Mus musculus: one gene and its partners. The protein of the gene in region 1 interacts with the protein of each later gene in a pairwise test. Links are inferred from orthologs where the notes say so. Each region holds a gene or a part of one and is shown on either strand. Other genes may lie near its edges.

What was found.
Region 2: the proteins of Boll (region 1) and Tfg interact in binary tests that used the Homo sapiens proteins (3 or more experiments, as listed by UniProt). The two-hybrid records come from large-scale screens. The link is inferred for Mus musculus from reciprocal best matches to the Homo sapiens genes BOLL and TFG.
Region 3: the proteins of Boll (region 1) and CK137956 interact in binary tests that used the Homo sapiens proteins (3 or more experiments, as listed by UniProt). The two-hybrid records come from large-scale screens. The link is inferred for Mus musculus from reciprocal best matches to the Homo sapiens genes BOLL and C1orf94.
Region 4: the proteins of Boll (region 1) and Zfp385c interact in a two-hybrid assay, tested with the Homo sapiens proteins (2 studies listed by BioGRID). The two-hybrid records come from large-scale screens. The link is inferred for Mus musculus from reciprocal best matches to the Homo sapiens genes BOLL and ZNF385C.
Region 5: the proteins of Boll (region 1) and Rbfox2 interact in binary tests that used the Homo sapiens proteins (3 or more experiments, as listed by UniProt). The two-hybrid records come from large-scale screens. The link is inferred for Mus musculus from reciprocal best matches to the Homo sapiens genes BOLL and RBFOX2.

What each region holds. Positions count from the first base shown.
Region 1 is NC_000067.6:55,360,942-55,365,153, forward strand, and holds the start of Boll (protein boule-like), read right to left. Parts: upstream 2,813-4,212; 5' UTR 2,379-2,812; coding exon 2,358-2,378; intron 1,788-2,357; exon of another isoform or gene 1,541-1,787; intron 1-1,540. UniProt on the Homo sapiens protein: Probable RNA-binding protein, which may be required during spermatogenesis. May act by binding to the 3'-UTR of mRNAs and regulating their translation.
Region 2 is NC_000082.6:56,689,823-56,693,460, reverse strand, and holds the end of Tfg (protein TFG), read left to right. Parts: intron 1-1,544; coding exon of another isoform or gene 1,545-1,579; exon of another isoform or gene 1,580-1,585; intron 1,586-2,307; coding exon 2,308-2,690; 3' UTR 2,691-3,132; downstream 3,133-3,638. UniProt on the Homo sapiens protein: Plays a role in the normal dynamic function of the endoplasmic reticulum (ER) and its associated microtubules. Required for secretory cargo traffic from the endoplasmic reticulum to the Golgi apparatus.
Region 3 is NC_000070.6:127,968,042-127,972,095, forward strand, and holds the start of CK137956 (uncharacterized protein C1orf94 homolog), read right to left. Parts: upstream 2,801-4,054; 5' UTR 2,794-2,800; coding exon 2,480-2,793; intron 1-2,479.
Region 4 is NC_000077.6:100,630,248-100,633,475, reverse strand, and holds part of Zfp385c (zinc finger protein 385C), read left to right. Parts: intron 1-616; coding exon 617-782; intron 783-2,676; coding exon 2,677-2,988; intron 2,989-3,228.
Region 5 is NC_000081.6:77,132,554-77,136,069, forward strand, and holds part of Rbfox2 (RNA binding protein fox-1 homolog 2), read right to left. Parts: intron 389-3,516; coding exon 164-388; intron 1-163. UniProt on the Homo sapiens protein: RNA-binding protein that regulates alternative splicing events by binding to 5'-UGCAUGU-3' elements. Prevents binding of U2AF2 to the 3'-splice site.

The DNA of each region.
Region 1 (4,212 bases):
ACTTCACTCTACAGAATTGCTTACTATTAAATGTACTACTCAAATGTACTTACATTAATTATGCGATAGGCTATTTGTTAAGGAAGAATACTAAATTCATAAAGAAGTCAAAGAGGGAGAAAAAAAGACTCAGATATCTGGAGAAGCTTTGTCTCAACCATTCTGTCCAGGTGTTAAGTTGGCCTGGCACTCAGTTAGGCAGTGGTGTTCTCTTGTTAACAGAACATCAGCATTAGACAAGGTCACTGTAATTATAATGGAGCAAGATAAAAAAAATTCTTTAATCGTGTCTAAATACCTATAAAAACAAAAGCACTGTCTAAACCACAAGAACTACCAAACATTGCTTAATCCTGGATATTCTGAGCAACTGTTCTCCTTTACCAATCTTACTTTTAAAGCAATAATACACACAACCACAGAAACATTCCCGTTTCCTTACAATACGCATTTCAGGTAAAGCCCTTCTACCTGGAATTCTAAAAGTCTCAAGCCCATTTTGTATAAATTGTGTTCTTAACACCTGAGAGGCCCCATGGTGTACTTTCTTCCTTTGACCAATGACTTCACAGACAACTCAATTACAAATGTGTCTGTGGGCTATAGAATGAGTTCCCAGACAGCCAAGGCTACATAGAGAAACCCTGTCTTGTAAAAAACAAAACAACAAAAAAACCCAAAACAAATTGGTATATATCCATTATGTTTATACTTCTAATTTAGAAGGCTGAACATATCAATATCAGTGCCAATTTATTTCTAGTATAGAATTTGTTAAATAATGATGTCTTCACAAAATTCTGTAAAAACAAAGGAGTTCAATGGAAGTACTAGTTTGTTTTCAAGTTTAAGTAAGAAGACTCCATTTTCCTGTGAGAGGTGGATGAAATCAGTCCCAAGTGAAGAGACCTCAAACACTGAGAAAATGATTTTAAAACAACCAAATCACTTCAGTCCCTGTTTTTAAGGCTCCAGTGTGGATGTTATGGCTTTCTTTCTTATTTTCTAAGATACCACATATATACCTGTAATATATTACTATGCTGTAATATTCATGAAGACAGGATGCTTGCCTATTTTTTTTTTAACTCACTGCGACATGCAAAACAGAAACATCGCATAGCAAGTGTTCAGTGCCTATCTATCTGTTGACTGTATAAACCAGGTTTCAGGAGAGACCTGCTTGGTACTTGGTCAACATTTGGGTAAGGACCGAAGTATCAGTAACATTCTAGAACCCATTTTATGGTTAGAGGCAACAAGGCTCTGACAGAGGTAACATCAAGTTCCTTCGAGGTTAGCACTGAATTTGAGGAGAGGGAACCTCCCACTGTCAACCATTTGAAAGCATGGAGCTAGGAGGCTGCCTGCTCCAGGATCCTTAGTCTGGACCCTCTGCTTCCCCGTAAAGCTCGACCACCAACGAGTTTCTTAAGATGCTCTTCCAAGGTAACATGGCCCTAGTGCCGTCTCCTCTGAGGCTTAACCTCGACCTCGAGATGGATCATCTTTGCAAAGACAAAGGAAGAGGTGGGCTAACCGTCGCAGTCACCGCCTCGGTGCTCCTTCCCCTCGGAGGCCAGCAGGCTGAGGCGATGGGGCAAATGGCCGGATTGACAACGTCCTCGGGTTCTCTCGGGTCATCGTGGACCGGGACACCGACACGAGGGTCTCCCCCCTCCCCACCAAAGTGCGGGAGGGAAAAGAAGGCCAGCCAGCGAGAAATTTTGTCAGGCAAACCCGCCAGCAGCGGTGGCGGGAACCCTCAACGGCACCTACCACGCGCTGGCCGCCTCGTGCAAGGCGGGGCCGCGGCCTTGCGTGGGCGCATGCTGATTGGCTGGCGGCCGGGCACGGGGCGGGGCGCGGCACGTTACCAGGCTGCACTGGGAGGGCGGGGGCGGTGGGGGCCCCTAGGCCCCAGCCGGGCCCAGGCCTGACAGGGCAGCGCGCGTAGCTCAGGCCTTCCCGGGCTCAGGCCTTGCCCCGGGTCGGGGCGTCGACGACGGCCGCGCAACTCGTGCCCGCGAGAACGTGTCCTGAAAAGGGCGAGCCGTCGAGGGCGCCGCCGTCCGGGCGGGAACACTTGAGGGCGGCCGCTCGCTAGGCATGTTTGGCCGATGGCCGTTTCCCCCGAGCTGCCCGTCCGCCCCACCGAGGGCCAGCGCCGCCTCCCCCACCCCCAGCGCCCCTTCTCACACAGCCCGAGGGGCCGCTCTCCTCAGCGGGGCTGCCCGCTGCCCTCCCGCGGCGCGTTCCTTCCCAACCCCACAGCAAGGCTTTCGACTCCAAAGTCCACTCTTTCCAGCCCGTCCGAAGCCGGGCCGCGCAGAGTCCGGCCGGCCCTCAGCACTCACCGCCCGGGACTCGGTCTCCATCTTTCTAATCTCCGGAGTTCGCGGGAAGCTCAAGTTGGAAGGCGCGTTCGCAGGAAGCGAGCCGGCGCGTCTCCCGTCGGGGACTCGCTCCCCCTGGCGGCGACGGCGGCGGCTGCAGTGGCGCAGTCTCCGAGCCGGGCGAGCTGCCCTGTGGGGGCGGGGGAGGCGGGCTGCGCGGCGGCGGTGGCGGTGGCGCTGTGCGCAAGTCCCGGGGCCGCCGGGGCGGCGGCACGGACGGCGCGCACCGCGACTGCCAGCGGCGGCAGGACGGACGGCTGGACGGACGGACGCGAGCACTGCGAGCGGAGGGGAACGCGCCGCGGAAGGCAAGAGCGGCGAGCCTTCCCTGCCCTGGAGGGCCGACCTCTAGGGTCTACTACAGAGAGTGGCCTCTGGGGACTTCCGAAAGCTGGCTCGAAGACAGGAAGACAAGTTCCCACGTGCAAACTCTGCTCCCCCTTCCGGGCGCCACACACAGAAGCAGCGGACGCCTCTGCTCTCAGCACCTGTCGCTGTCGCTGTCACTCATCCCTGCCAGGGAGGGCGGGGCAGCGCAGTTCAGGCCCCTGGTAGGCTAGCTGCCCTGCGCTCCTGGCTAATAATGCATATTTCATCTCAGCACTTGGGAGGCAGAGTAGGAGGATTTCTGAGTTCAGGGTCAGCTTGGTCTATATACCGAGTTCAAGGATAGTTAGTTTAAGGGCTACACAGTGAGACCTTGTCTCCCTCCCTCCCTCCCTCCCTCCCTCCCTCCCTCCCTCCCTCCCTCTCTCCCTCCCACCCCCACTCTCCCATAAAAGAACAAACAAGCAAATAAAATAAAAGTAGGAGAGAGCCTAAGGGAAGGGAACCAGCTTCATTAGACTTGGCCCCATAGCTTTGGGAACTCCGTTCAAAGACTCCTTTGCAAGGACTTTTTAAAAAGTGCCTGAGAGCCTACCTTCTCTCTTAAGTAGTATGTAATTTCTGTTAGATAAATTCATGTAATAAGGACTGTCATTATTATAAGCAACTATCCATCATACACATATCTTGTTTCCGGTGCAGTGCTTTATGGTCATTTCTACTGTAAATAGGTGGCTAAATACTTGGGTCAAAGTCTAAAGCTGTAGCTTTAACCCTAGCGCTCTGCAACCCCGATTCTTCATCTCAATGGGCTGGCTTTTAAGGGCTTTAAGCCATCAGATCAGTATCAGCAACTGTAAAAAGTTACATAACTTGTCCTCAGAGTAAGCAGCAACAATATTAATGTTAATATGTCCAAAGGTTAGTTATCAAGAATAAATATCCAAAAGCTTAGTTATTTACCAAAAATAAGATGGGAAACAATTTTTGTTAATTGTAGAAGCATCCTAGCAGTTGGAATACTTTTCTGCATACAATTTAAACTCATTTTCTCAGGTTTGAGTTTCTGTGGAAAAGGAATAATACACAGATGTGTATTCAGATTTAAGTACATATTCTAGAATTGATTTTTGGGCATTCTATCCCTCCAGTTGTAACTAAGGATTTGATTATTATTTGATTAGTGCTCTTTTCTTCTGAAGTCTTTTTCTTTCCTACTAGAATAGTTACTTTTGAAGGGAGCATCTTCTAAAAAGGCCACTTGTCACAGGAAATACTTGGTCTGACATAATGAACAAACTTGAGGGAACAGTGACTGTGTTAGGGAAGATAGCTACACTCCTCAGTTCAGCTCCTCTTTTACTTCTTATCCAAAAGGAACTTAAAAAATACTTGGCTGAATCACACAAAATTATATTGGATCAACTTAGTAGACAGTACAGTTCTTATGCTCATAATGGGATATGCTGCTGGAAGGCAAAGTTCAGAC
Region 2 (3,638 bases), on another chromosome or scaffold:
AGTTGTCCCTGTTGCTGCTGCACTTTGGCACTGCTGAGAGTAGAGTGAGTAGTTGGAAAGTGAGAGAAGCAGTGTAGCCCACAGCACCTAAAATATTTACTATCTGGCCCTTTAAATGATCTTTTATTGGTCCAGACAGTTGCTGATTGCTAACCTAGACTACAAAATTTTGTCATTACTAAAGTTTGGTATATTTTTACACAAAGAATAATTTTTGGGGTTTTTGCTGTAGAGTGATTTTATTTTATAGTTGTTAGATCTGATTGCAAAAAACAGATGAATTGATTTTAAAGGAAATGCCATTTGAGTGTGTTATTCTATTAAGCAAAAAAAAAAAAGTATATGGTACAAATTGTATAACATATAGACATTGCTTGGAGGTGGGCCTTAGGCTTTGGTATTTTAAAGGCATCACAGGTTACGTAGCCACAGTGAGGACCACTGATGTTGTTCTACTCTTTTATAAGTGGCTTTTCAAGCCATGCAGATATTCAGCGAGGAGGCTGAACAGAATGGTTCTCTTGTCTTTATACCGTTTTATAGTCTCCAATCTAGACTTGAGTGGTCAGTATCTTAGGCTTAGTTGTAGCTATTTATGGATTTTAAAAAATATCTATTACCTATTTTGTTGCAATTTGTAATATTTTCCACCTAACGTTACTCATTTTAGGAGTGTTAGGAGGGTGTAGAAATGGAGACAAATAGACCTAATAGAGCAGTATTGCTGCTACTGAAATGGTCTTGTTAGCACGTAAAGTTTAGATTTCAGGTGTAGGATGGAAAGATAGTTTTATTGCTTTCCTCTCAATTGGAATAGTCATTTTCAATATAAAAGTATTCCCCCAAAACTTAAAGTAAAAAGTTAACATTTGAAAGTTTTTGTCAGGGCTGACAAGTTGGCTCAGAAATTGCTAGCACTTGCTGTCTTCCAGAGTAACTGGGCTCAGATTTTAGCATCCATAATGATGGCAGTTCACAGCCATCAGACATGTCCATGCCCTCCCTCTTCTGCCTTTCATGGGTAGCTACACAACACACACACACACAATATTTAAGTTTAGTATGGAAGACGGGAGAAATTAATGACATCCAAGATCTTATAAATTTATTTTAATTCAGTATTCAGGAACTACCATGAGTGAATTACAACTTAATACCTAAGCTTTTTCTGGGAAGTTTAAGACAGGGTTTTCACAGAGTAAAATTTAGTGCTTTTCAAATTGCCTCTGTATTTCTGATCCTGCTAGTTCTATTTCCTTGACTTCAAGAGCTATGGAAATAGATAACTAACTACTCTGCATGGAGACTTGCTGGTTGGTAGTGACATTGACCAATCTCTCATACTTTTGGTTTGCCAGTTTTCCCTCTGACCTTTTCCAGTTTTGTTCATAAAGGTTTCTTTCATAAGTAAATTTTGAACCCAGGTTCAAGGTGAGTTCAGAATATATACTCAAATTCATTCAATCCTTTTTTTTTTTCTTCTAAATGCAGGGTTGTACACATTTTAATAATTGTCTTATGTATCTGGTATTTAATGCTGACAGGATTCCAGTCAATGGAGAGGTTTCATTGCAAGTAGCTGCAGGTGTGTTTCATAGTAGAGATAAAAGTTTTCAGTGAAGCAGATTTTATTTTTTATTATATTCTAGTAAATAATGAATATAGATGTTGATTAAGTGGGACAATATGATTTGTTTTTTGTTTTATTATGCCATGCTAAGTCAAAATTTGAGTTTTAAAGGCAAAAGTATCAGGTACCAAATATAAAGGATTTAAGAACTATAAACATAGTAGTCATTATTCCTAGATATTATAGTGAATTAATTTATATAAAACAATGTATATGAAGAGTGTTTGTAGCACTGTTTCACTTATAAAGCACTTGTCTGTAATGGGATTTCATGTGGTACTGTTAAATAGGATTTCCCTTTAAACCTAATTAATGACTACTTTGCTTTTATGATTTTCGTCTTCCTAGAAAGTGTAATTATTTCACCTATTTGAGCATTCATTCTAGGAATTTTGTGCAAATGGGAACTTGCTCAAGGGTTATTATTAGTTTCAAAGCAGTTGTAATGAAAATACATGCTTATAGTGACTTGAATTTTAGGCTATAGAATTTAAAAAGTGTCTGGAAAAATTTTGTAACTCTTTGGTTTTGAGATGTTTTATGCTGGACTCACTACATAATTATGAATATATTTGTTAATTTTTTAATCATTTTTGGTCCATAGCAATAAGACTAAGTCTCTGGAAAACTTTCACCAAAAAACCCAAAACATTTGTTATGTATTTTGCTTTTTTCAGCTAGTTACAGCCAGCAGACTGGACCCCAACAACCTCAGCAGTTCCAGGGATATGGCCAACAACCAACTTCCCAGGCACCGGCTCCTGCCTTTTCTGGCCAGCCACAACAACTGCCTGCTCAACCACCACAGCAGTACCAGGCGAGCACTTACCCTCCACAAACGTATACTACCCAACCATCTCAGCCTGCCAACTATACTGTTCCCCCTGGCTCTCAGCCTGGAATGGCTCCAAGCCAACCTGGTGCTTACCAACCAAGACCAGGTTTTACGCCATCTCCTGCAAGTACCATGACCCCTCCTTCTAGTGGGGCTAACCCTTATGCTCGTAACCGTCCTCCTTTTGGTCAGGGGTATGCCCAACCTGGACCTGGTTATCGATAAGGAGGTTCAGCCACACTAATAATAATGGCTGATTGCCTCCCAAAAGACTATACAATACTATTTTGTTTCAATTTGTATTGTATTGAAGTTTAAAAATTTAAAAAGCAGAGCATTTTTTTATGATATCATTGTTGCTGTTAATTGAAAATATAATTTACCAGAATACAGACACAAAAAGACCAAAATGAATATTGTTTCCTCCCCTGCTTAAAATTGTAGCCGCTTCCTAGTTATTTTGGAACACTACTCTTACATGCGTGTAAAATGATTGGCTTTCTAGTTTCCCAGAGAATATTAAAAAGCTAGGCTAAGGTATAGCCATCACACTTGGCTATTTACTGTTAACATGATGTACTAAAAATAGAGCCCTCTGAGAAGATGACTAGACATTATGTATAAAATGTAACATTGATAGGCTAATAAAGGTGATTGAATCCAACTGTGGTCTTGTTGCCTAATTATTTAAGACATAAAGAAAATAGTCATTTTACAGAATTAATGAAATTGATTTCCATTCATATAATAAATTTGATTGACTTAGACTATAAATACAGTATGGGTTCAGTAGCTCTTCATTTTATGATTTTTCCTTACGGCGATAAAGGTATATTTACATATTGGCAAACTATTCAGAATGTTTTTAAAAACCTACTTTTTATTGCAGTGTTTATACTTGTTTGAAAATACAAAATACTGTAGCATTGATAAAACTGAAGCATGTTGAAAGATACATACAGAGAAAAGTCTTTTCAGGGCAAGCAATAATTTTCTTGGCTCCCTCCCACACATGAAGGAAAGCAATGCTTTTTTTTTCCCCCATGAAATGAGTCTGTTTTGTTACAGCTTAAGTAAACAGTTTCACAAAAACATTCTGTAATACATTCATTCATGGCCTAAGCATATAAATATATCATATATCCTATAAAACAATAGCTTCTCACCATGCAT
Region 3 (4,054 bases), on another chromosome or scaffold:
GTTTGAGCTCATCCTGGCATGTATAATGAGTTCCAGGACAGTCTGGGCTGCATAGTGAGAGCCTATCTCAAGAAAACAAACAAATAACCGAGGTTGGGTCTCATTTAAAGAGGGGGAGAGGAACAGTTAAAACCAGAACAGTACAGTTTGGTAATTATGGAAATTTATATCTACACACACTTGGACTCTCACTACCTCAGGCAAAAACTGCAGGGTTTACAGAAATTATAACTGCTGTCATTAGAATGAGTTTATCAATCCTATTTACCAGCAGGACCCTAGAACAGTCCTCCTGATTTGCCACCTCCAGCCACCCCTACCCTCACCCCCACTCAGCAGACAAGGAAACCAAAGCTCAGATCGATCTCACAGCCAGCACAGGGCTGGACCTGGTTATCACAGTCTCAGGTTCTAAAGCCAGCACTGGGCTGGACCTGGTTATCTTTCGTTCCAAGAAGCAGCTGCTAGCTCGCTCTCTGGCCCACTCACTGTGTTCTACTGGGTGGATAGCGATACAATTAGAATGTGGTCTATTCATCTAAGTCAGCAGATTCCCACATCTCCTCTCAGAACTCTTCCAAGTGCAACTGTACTCAGAACTCCAGTTAATAAAGCTGACAAACACCTAAAGAACTCAGGCTGAAACGAGTGCAAGTGTGAGCGTGTATGTGTGTGTGTGTGTGTGTGTGTGTGTGTGTGTGTGTGTGTGTGTGTAGGTGTAGAAGAGAACTGTCCAGCCAAGAGCCCACTTGACTCCAGGGAGGCTCTCTGAAGGCTCCTGGGATCGTGGAGCACAACACCAAAACCCTAGATGAAGCCAACTAAGTAGCCTCCCCTCCCCCAAATTAGATGAACTCCACATTAAGGCAGCCTTGTTTGTATAATGCATCTTTCATTTCTTTGTTTCCCATCACATTCAGCCCTCGTTATCAACTCAGAGGTGGACAAGGCAGGGCGCATCATCCTTAATTTGCAGATGAGGAATTCAAAGCCAAATGGAGAGAAGCGACCGGCCAGAGGTATTCCAGGTCAATTTCCGGCCAAGTGCAGACTGGAAGTAGAGTCTGTCTCCATGAATTCGGTGTGACCTGGCAGGGAAGGGGCTATCTACTGGAAATTGCTGCTGACCTTTGATCCAGAAAGTGGACAATCAGCTACTTGGCCACTGAGAGAGCTGAGTGTAGCCCCAAGGTTCCCTGTGCCAAGGCACTGTCCCAAAGCAGATGGCAGTGAACGGGGCAAAGGAGCCCAGTGCCACTGAGCAGACTAGCCACAGGATTCTGGCTGTAGAGAGGCCATTTGCATCGGAGCCGGGTCCTGCTGAGCACAGGGCAGAGGAGGCAGGAGCAGGCAGCATGCCTTCCGCCTTCATCTGCAGCAAGCAAAGGCGCTTGCAAAGGGACTGCTGCAGCAAGAGCAGACCTGAGCATCAGCTCGACTTTGCTTTCCACCTCAGTGATGCTTAGAGAGCCCTGAAACCAGAGGCAGCTGATAAATGCCTGGATGATGTGCCCCCCCCCCCCCCACACACACACTGCAGAGCATCTATGAACTGAGTCGGAGCATGTGTTGAGGGCAGACAACACTTAATTATCACTTAGGCTTTAATTAGCACTTAATTATTAACACTTAATCCATCTGTAAAATGGGGACACTAATACCTGTTTCATAGGGATGCTGGGAGGATTAATTAATGCGTGCAGCCCACTTTGAAGATGCAGAGCCTTGGAAGAGTACTCAGCAGCGGCATTAATCACCACAGCTGATGCACTCCTTTTCCTAATGAGATCCTGTCTTCCTCTATGCTCCTTCCTCTCCTTTCCAATGGCTGTCTCCTCAACTTTTCCCTAGTACTGAAACACTTAGCTCTGTGTTTCCCCGACAGGCAGGGGATTTCCCATTTGGGAAACCGGCTATTTACAGCCATCTTCCGCACTTTAATTTTCTATTATGTCCTCTGAATATGTCAATGCCTTCCCAGTAAATATTTTGATGTGCGCTCTTGCAGTAGCTCTGTGGATGCTGAATGGGACAGCTGCTCTCTGTATTAGGGGATTCCAGATGTGGTTTCCAACCACCAGGATCATCTGTGCCAATGCCTGGACTTTTCTTGGGAAAGGGCTAAAGATCATCTAGCTGCCTCTGGGGGCAGTAGTGAGTCACCTAACCCTTAGGTTGGCAATAATGCTCCTGCAAAGACCCCAGATCTTTATCTTAGCCACGTATGTCTTTAGAATGAAAAATGTCTCCTTAGGCGCTGAAAAAGAAGCTGCCAGGAATGGTTTCTTTCCTCCCGTCTGGAACTTCAGGACCTTGGCCAGCTCCTCCGACCGAAAGTGACTCGAGATTACAGAAATGGGGATGGGGAGGAGATATGTGTGCAGGGCTTAACACTGGGCCAGAGCATTTCAACCCAAAGTCAGACTTCATTTCCCCTTTCTCCCTTTCTTGATTATCAACCAAACAGGGGACTACTCACTCTTCTTGGAAGCTGACAGCTGCGGTCACGGGAGCAGAGTGCTTCTCCAGCGAGGTCCTGGGCTGCAGGGATTCTGGCAAGCCCTGAACTCGCTTCCAGATGTCATGGCAAATCTTGTCTAAGCTATCCTGGGGTGTGTCCTGGTGGATCCAGACATATCTGGGGAATGGCCCCAGGGCGGAGGGACGCTTGGCCACGAGGGCTGAGGATGGAGGGAGCCCATTTCCGCTGGCCATCCTCTTTCTTTCTTTCCGGAAGCCCCTTTGTCCACCCAGGGCTGGGAGACAAAGGGACTGTGGTCCACCAGCCCTCATTCACCAGAAAGGGAGCTGAAGACAGGGCCGGGGAAGTAGTCAGTTCTGGCTGGCTGTTGCTCCAGCCAAGGGATGGGTTTCAGAGGCCTTTGGATGGGGTAGGGATGAGGGGTAGAGGGCAACTTTCTTTTGGGGAGGGGGGCTTAAGTTGACTTGTTTCTATTTGCTCTTTCCTGGCTTTTGCCCCCCTCCCCCTCTCCCGTAGAAGAAAATATTTAAAAGTCAACAAAAACCAGTAACTTAGTAACCGTGGAATGCCCCGGAACTCAGGAACCAAGCGCCTGGGCGGGCAGAATGACATCTGGGAACGACTGGAGGGGAGGACTGGCTCTCCCCACAAAACCCAGCACTCCCCAGTTGTGACACCCCTGTGACACCTTTCAGGGCCTGGGACTCCTTTCAGGGCCTGGGAATCAGCCCATTCTAGCCTGCCAAGCCACCAGAAGGGCAGGATAAGGGTCAGACACTACACTAGACTGGGAGGGGGCGGGCCATGGGACTGTCTCCTCCTGCCTTCCCTAAGGTTCGGTGTACACGGAGGGCTAACGGCCCTCGACCACTGCAGGTCCTGGCTTTAGCTCTCCCGACTGCCCCCTTCTGTCCCTCTCTCTGCTACTGCTGCTCTGCCTCCCCAAAAAGAGATCTCCAATGCGGTGCTGTGCTAGTAGTCAGTCGGCCTGGCCCAGGTCCTCAGCAAACACTTGTCGTGTCCCCGCGCAGAGCTGCGACCCGCACCGCAGAGGGTCCCAACCCTTAAAAGGGCTCCGATTGGGCAGGGCAGGCCCGGGCGGGGTCAGCGGATTTGCGTGTCAGTCGCTCCCACACTCCTGCCGTCGAGAGCTGGGATTCTTTCAGTGGGTTCAAGCGCAACGGCTGGGTGCGTGGGAAGTCGTGGGAGGGCGGCACGGGCCGGGCGTTCGTCTCCTAAGACCCGCAGGTGGAGTGGGGGCGGGGTGCAACTGGCAAAACCCCAGGGAGCTTCCTCTTAGAAGGAAGTTTCCATCTCATTTCCATTTCACCACTGCATACAACCTCAGAGGTTGTCTAGAAGTGGGGGACCCTGCCCCTTTGTCCGCTGGCTTTAATCCTAACTGCCATCCCCTGAGAACACCTAAGGCCGAGGGCTGGCTTCAAACCTGATCTTGTTCGCTCTCGCGAGCTCGTACTCCTTTTCATTCGGCGCACAGGATGGGAGGAAACTGAGTCTCCAAGTTACAAATGGCTGTGTCCTGAGTTCAAGAAGCGAAGCTCGGGACTAGAC
Region 4 (3,228 bases), on another chromosome or scaffold:
ATGAAGCTTCAAGCGGGGCACACCTATGGTCCTGTTACTCGGGAGGCTGAGGCAGGAGGATTATGAGTTAAAGCCAGCCTGGGCCACAGAGTAAGTAGTCCATTTCCAGAATATTCTGTACATATAGGCAGACACCCAAGAGCATCACTTGGTTAATGTCCCTGGGTTCAACACTTCTGGATCTGGGAACACAGAAACAAATAAGGTTGGAGAGATGTGGCTTAGTGGAGCCCAGTAGTCATAAGGCTTTGTGTGCAACTCTAGGTTCAACACACACACACACACACACACACACACACACACACACACACACACAGCCTTTGAGTGAGGTGCTGTGACTTGCCTAGAGATGCAGAGCTTACATAAATGGCCAAGTTTGATTCTGAGGGCAGGCTGCCTGCATGGGAGCCCCTGTGTGAGAACAAGCTCTGTTGTAAACCTCAGGGCTCTATACATGTGGCAATGATGGTGACACTGACATCACCCCTTTGTGGCTGAGCCTTGTGTTCGTCCCTTTGACCACATATTCCTCTGGCCTATCCCCCTACTCAGCCTCCCTCCTAGATGAGGCATGAGACCCACGGGAAGAAGATGACCCCTCCCCTCCCTCTTCCAGAACCAGGCTGAGGCTCATTACAAGGGCCACAGACACGCCAGAAAACTCAAGGCTGTGGAAGCTGCCAAGAGCAAGCAGAGGCCTCGAAACCCGACCACAAACGGGACAGTGGTGTCTTCAGCCTCACCTCCAGCCAGTGGAAGCCCTGGAACCCCTCAGAGCAAAGGTCAGTCTTGATTTCAAGTTCACACAACGAGGCTGGCTTCTGACAGCGGCTTGAGTGACTCTGGCTCTTCAACCATCTTTCTTTCCTTTTTCTTTTGTTTGGTTTTTCAAGACAGGGTTTTTCTGTGTAGTCTCAGCTTTCCTGGAACTCACTCTGTAGACCAGGCTGGCCTTGAACTTATAGAGATCCATCCACCTGCCTCTGCCTCATGACAGTGCTGGGATTAAAGGCATGCACCACTACTACCTGGCTTTTTATTTTTAACTTGGGATTTTTTGGTGTGTGTGTGTGTGTGTGTGTGTGTGTGTGTGTGTGTGTGTGTGTGTGAATGTGTGTATGTGAATGTGTGTGTGTGTGCATGTGTGTGTGAATGTGAATGTGTGTGTGTGAATGTGTGAGAATGTGTGTGTGCATGTGTGTGTGTGAATGTATGTGTGTGTGTGAATGTATGTGTGTGTGTGTGAATGTGTTGGTGCTCATGGAACACAGAGGCCAGGAGGGGTCATGAGGTCCCTGGAGCTGGAGTAGCAGTGGTTATGGGTTCTGGGGACTGCACTCCCATCTGCTGCAAGAACAGTACATGCTCTTAACAGCTGAGCCATCTCTTTAGCTTTTCACCATATTTCCTGCTAAAAAAAATGACCCCTAATATACAGACATTGGCAGACACCTATACTGTTCCTTCCTCAGGCTGACTCTGGATCAGGCAACGTGCTGCCAGCACACCTAGCCTGAGCTAGGATTCAACTACTCCCTGTGTTGGTTCCCTAAGGCTGGCAGAACACAAGGCTACAAAGTAGGTGGCTGAAACAATAGAAGTGTATTTTCTCCACAATCTAGAGGTCAGAGGTCTGCATTCAGATGTGGGTAGGTTTGGGTTTTTTTTTTTTTTTAACCTGGGGGCCAGAGGGAGAAGCTCCTGTCTCAGCTAATGGGTACCACTGTCCCCTACACTCCTTAGAGACGGAGGAAGGAGAATTCAGAGTTCCAGGTCAGTCTGGAATACACATCAAATTTAAGGCTAGCTAAGGTTCTGTAAGACCCTGACTCAGAAAAGAAAGGACAGGGGGTTGGGAGTCTACCTCAGTGGGTACAGTACTTGCAGACCACTTGGGAAGTCCCGGAGTTTGATTCCTAATACCACCACGGAACTGGGAATAGTGGCACGGACCCATGATCACAGCATTTGCGAGGTGGAGGCAGGCAGGCTAGAAATCTAGTTCAAGGGTATCCTCAGCTATATAGTGAGTTCATGGCCAGCCTGAGATACACTAGACTCTGACAAAAAACAACATTCCCCCTAAAACCTCCACTAACACCCATCATTTCTGAGTTTACATGTGGTCATTTTCCTTTCCTGTGCTGTGTTCTCTGCCTCAAAGATAGATTACCATTCACCTGTATGATGGATCTCACCAATTTCCAGTTTAATGCTATTATAATACTAAAACATTCTAGCACATCTTTCTGGTGACTTCTACTTACTCAATACTGAGGAGCTAGAACATTAGACTGAAAGTGTGACCAATTCTGTCCGATTTTATGATTTTTTTTTTTTTTGGTTTGGTTTTTTGAGACAGGATTTCTCTGTATAGCCCTGGCTATCCTGGAACTCACTTTGTAGGCCAGGCTGGCCTCGAACTCAGAAATCTGCCTGCCTCTGCCTCCCCAATGCTGGGATTAAAGGCGTGCACCACCACACCAGGCCGATTTTATGATTTTTTATACAGGGAAACTGAGGCTCAAGTTTGCCTAGTGAGTTGGTGGCAGGGTGAACCCAGAATTGAGTGCTAGCTGTCCTTTACCAGGAAGCCTTCCAGCCTCCCATTCTATCACCATGTCAGTGTTGCGCCTCAGAGGTCCAAATCTCCCCATATGTCCCATGTCCTTGCAGGTCCTGCATCCCCTCCTCTTGGCCCTTCACTTCAGCTCCCGCCGACCCCGGACCCATCAGCCGGAGACCCCGTCCACTCAGCCGGAGACCCCGTCCACTCCGAACTTTGTGATGCTGCTGCTTCGTCTTCCTCCTCTTCCTGCCCACCCTGCTCCCCGGATCCCAGCAGGGAAGCACCAGGGCCTGAGCCAGCAGAAGGGGCCGTGGGAAGTGGAGTGAATGGGGAGGGCAGGGGCGAGAAGGGACGCCTCTACTGCCCTACCTGTAAAGTGACAGTGAACTCCGCCTCTCAGCTTCAGGCTCACAACACAGGTCAGTGCTTCCCGGGTGCCATGTCATTCATGGCCAGGTGACAGAGGAACCTACCCACTGTTACTACAAAGACATTTCTGGGTCCTTCTCTTCGTCCCAAGGGAGGGGCATTGGGAGGAGAAGTCTGCAGCAACCAGAACTGAAGGTCACTAAGGGCCTGGAGTACCCTCCTCCATACTCCTTGGATCAAAAGGAAGGGACTTTTTCCCAGCTGTCTATTTTAAAAGGCCATCTTCCCTA
Region 5 (3,516 bases), on another chromosome or scaffold:
TAGTTCAAGCTCCCCACTGTCCAGCCACAAGGCTTAGGAAAGAACAGTCAGTACATGCATGCTGGGCAGTGAGTAGAAATGCTAAACTAACTCAAAGCGCTTTCTTTCCGAGAAGGTAAAAATTTCACACGTCCTTCTACCTTGCATCTCCGACTTCACATACCGTGAGAGATCCATTCTGGTTGCTGGGTGAATTGCTACTCTGTTCTCCATGAGGCTGCGTACTCCCGTAGAGGGTCAGGTTATGTTCACTGGTCTGGCCGGCATAGTCCTGAGTGTGTGGCACTCCATATTCTGTGGGAATTCCATTTTGTGGAGGTGGTGGGAACGGGATGGTAGTAAAAGGCTGAACCATTGCGTCAGGAGTTGTTGTTGGCTCCTGGTTACCCTAGAGCAAGCAACAGAAAAGAAAGAGGAGTGAGTGAATAAATCTTTATCACACAGGACTCTTAGCATGTTCTCTCACTATCCCCCGCTCAGGAAGAAACTGCTAGGATCATCAGATAACTTCATTCTTTAAAAAATATCAACTGATAAAACTTAATTTTATGTGTGCTTTGCCTGTGAGCATTATGGTATGGTGTGGAGTTAGGACAACTTGATTCTACATCCTCCTTCAACATGAGTCCCTGGGATCAAACTCAGATTTGGTGATAAGTACCTTTCTTTACCTGATGAGCCATCTTGATAGCCAAGAGCTTAATATTTGATCATCTCTTCCAAATCATTTGGTGCTCTGCCTGTACCCATAGTTGGTGGCAGAATATACTGCTTCCAAGGTCAAGACTGATTAGCATTTAAACAGGTGTGCAACAGACAAAAATTCAAACTAAGGTAGACTAATAGATGAGCAGAGCCTAAGGATTGCCTTTCAGAAATCTTCAGAAAGGGTCTATTAAGAAACATATGAAGCTTTAAAGACACAGTTTCCAAGTTTAGATTAGGACCAAGGAACTTGCCTCTGTCTCTGACGCTGCTCTTCTTGAACTCTAACCGCCATTCTCCACCCCATCCCTGATGGGAGTGAGACTGTGGTCCACAAGCAAACAGCATCAATCATCCCACAGGGCCATTTCTGCCAGAGCTGGCCCAGTCAACTGAACAAACACATCAACTAGTGGTGGGGATTGGGAGCAGGAAATGCTTCTAGGGTATACCCATAGTCTAGGCACAGCGAGATGTAACCACGGTAGGACTGTCGCCCATAAGAGGGTGCAATCCTCCATCAGGGAACAGGGCTCCTGTTGACTTAGGGAAATGTGACTGATAGCAACACTTACACAGCTGTCTATATGCTAAGACAACAGACCTGGCCGGACAGTGGTGGTGCACACCTTTAATCCCAGCACTTGGGAGGCAGGGACAGTCTGATTTCTGAGTTCAAGGCCAGCCTGGTCTACAAAGTGAGTTCCAGGGCTACACAGAGAAACCCTACCTCAAAAAATCAAAAATCAAAAACCAAAACCAAAACCAAAACCAAACCAAAAAGACAACAGACCTGGAGTAATGCTTTATGTTTTATAGCAATCACTCTACCACATATATTATGGCTATTGTTTTTATTAGAAATATGAAGTCATTTAACATTCTTAATAAAAATAATATAAGAATGTTTTCTAATCAATTTTCAGTTCACATTTCAAAGTTTTAAGTTGAAAGGGAAATACAACAGCTCCCAGCCAACTTATGACAGTTGATAGGATTGCTTCTACATCATGAAATGCTTTTAAAATATTTGTATTATTTTTAAAATGTATGTGTATGTATATATCTGTATATGTCCTTACAGAAGCCAGAAGAGGGCGCCAGACATTCAGGAGCTGAAGTTACAGGTGGTTGTGAGCTGCTTGATATGGGTGCTGGGAACTCCCTTCAGATTCTCTGGGAGACCAATGCCCTACACTTCTTTCTATTGCTGGGACCAAAACCAACTCAGGGGAGAAAAGAGTTCATTTCACTTTGCAGTTCATAGTCTGTCATGGAGGCAAGACAGAGCACCGGACTTAATCAAGTGGTAAAGAATATTCTTGACATCAACCTTGGACTTCCACATGAATGTGCACGCATATCCACGTGCACCCACTACATAAGAGCACACAGACGCAGGCAGGCAAGCAGGCGTTCACACACGAGCGTGTGCACGCACCCACCCACCCACACAGACACACACAGACACACCCAGGCACACAGCTCTAAAAGCAATTTTGTTTGTAGGGCTTAAGAAATGGCTCATCAGTTAAACGCAGGTAAGGACCTAGAGGCAGGAACTGATAGAGGAGCATTACTTACTGGCTCGCTCCTCATTGCTTGTTTGGCCTGCTTTCTTGTACAACCCAGGGCCACCTACCCAGGGTGTCACCACGCACAGTGATTAATCAAAAAAAAAAAAAAAAAAAAAAAAAAAAGGCCTATAGTCATGTTTCCAGGTCAGTTTGAGAGAGGCAATTCCTCAACTGATACCTCTTCCCATAGAACTCTAGTTTGTGTCAATCTGACAAGGAACAACCAGCAAGTATTCGTTACACACCTCCGGCCCCTATGCTTTATATTCTAGGCTAGGCAGCTAAGCACATAACACCTGGAAAGGTGAATTATTACCATCTTTCTAGGATGAAGTCCATGCAATGTAGAAAGAGAAGGTATTTTTATTGTTGTCTTCCCATTCCTTTCTCAACTTCATTCTAATTTTTCCATTTGGTAATCTTGACTCCAATTTACAGGCATAACCTAAACAGCAGCCTGCAAATTCTAAAGGCAGCCCATTCAGACAGTCTCTCAATCACAAAAAGAAGTACTTGAAAGAATATTCCCCAGTTTAACTAGGATGCCAAAAATATTTCTGCTTTTAAGCATTTTACAAGCGTCATTTTTATTCCCTGGGAGCTTAGGTAGGCTCAGATTTCAAACTTGGCCTGCCTTTCTAAAACCAACCAGTCACTGGGAAGATGGTTCAGTTGTTGAAGTACTTGGAGCTGGGCAGGCAGAGGCAGGAGGATCCCTGGAATTGCTGGCCAGCCAGTCTTGCCAAAAGGTGAGCTACAGGTTTGTACTGGCTAGTTTTGTGTGTCAATTTGACACAGGCTGGAGTTATCACAAAGAAAGGAGCTTCACTTGGGGAAATGCCTCCATGAGATCCAGCTGTAAGGCATTTTCTCAATTAGTGATCAAGGGGGGAGGTCCCCTTGTGGGTAGTGCCATCTCTGGGCTGGTAGTCTTGGTTCTATAAGAGATCAGGCTGAGCAAGCCAGGGGAGGCAAACCAGTAAAGAACATCCCTCCATGGCCTCTGCAACAGCTCCTGCTTCCTGACCTGTTTGAGTTCCAGTCCTGACTTCCTTTGGTGATGAACAGCAATGTGGAAGTGTAAGCTGAGGAAACCCTTTCCTCCTCAAGTGCTTCTTGGCCATGATGTTTGTGCAGGACTAGAAACCCTGACTAAGACAAGGTTCCATTAGAGATCCTGTCTCGAAACTAAGGTGGAAAGCAACTGAAGAAGACATTGAACGTCAACTTACAG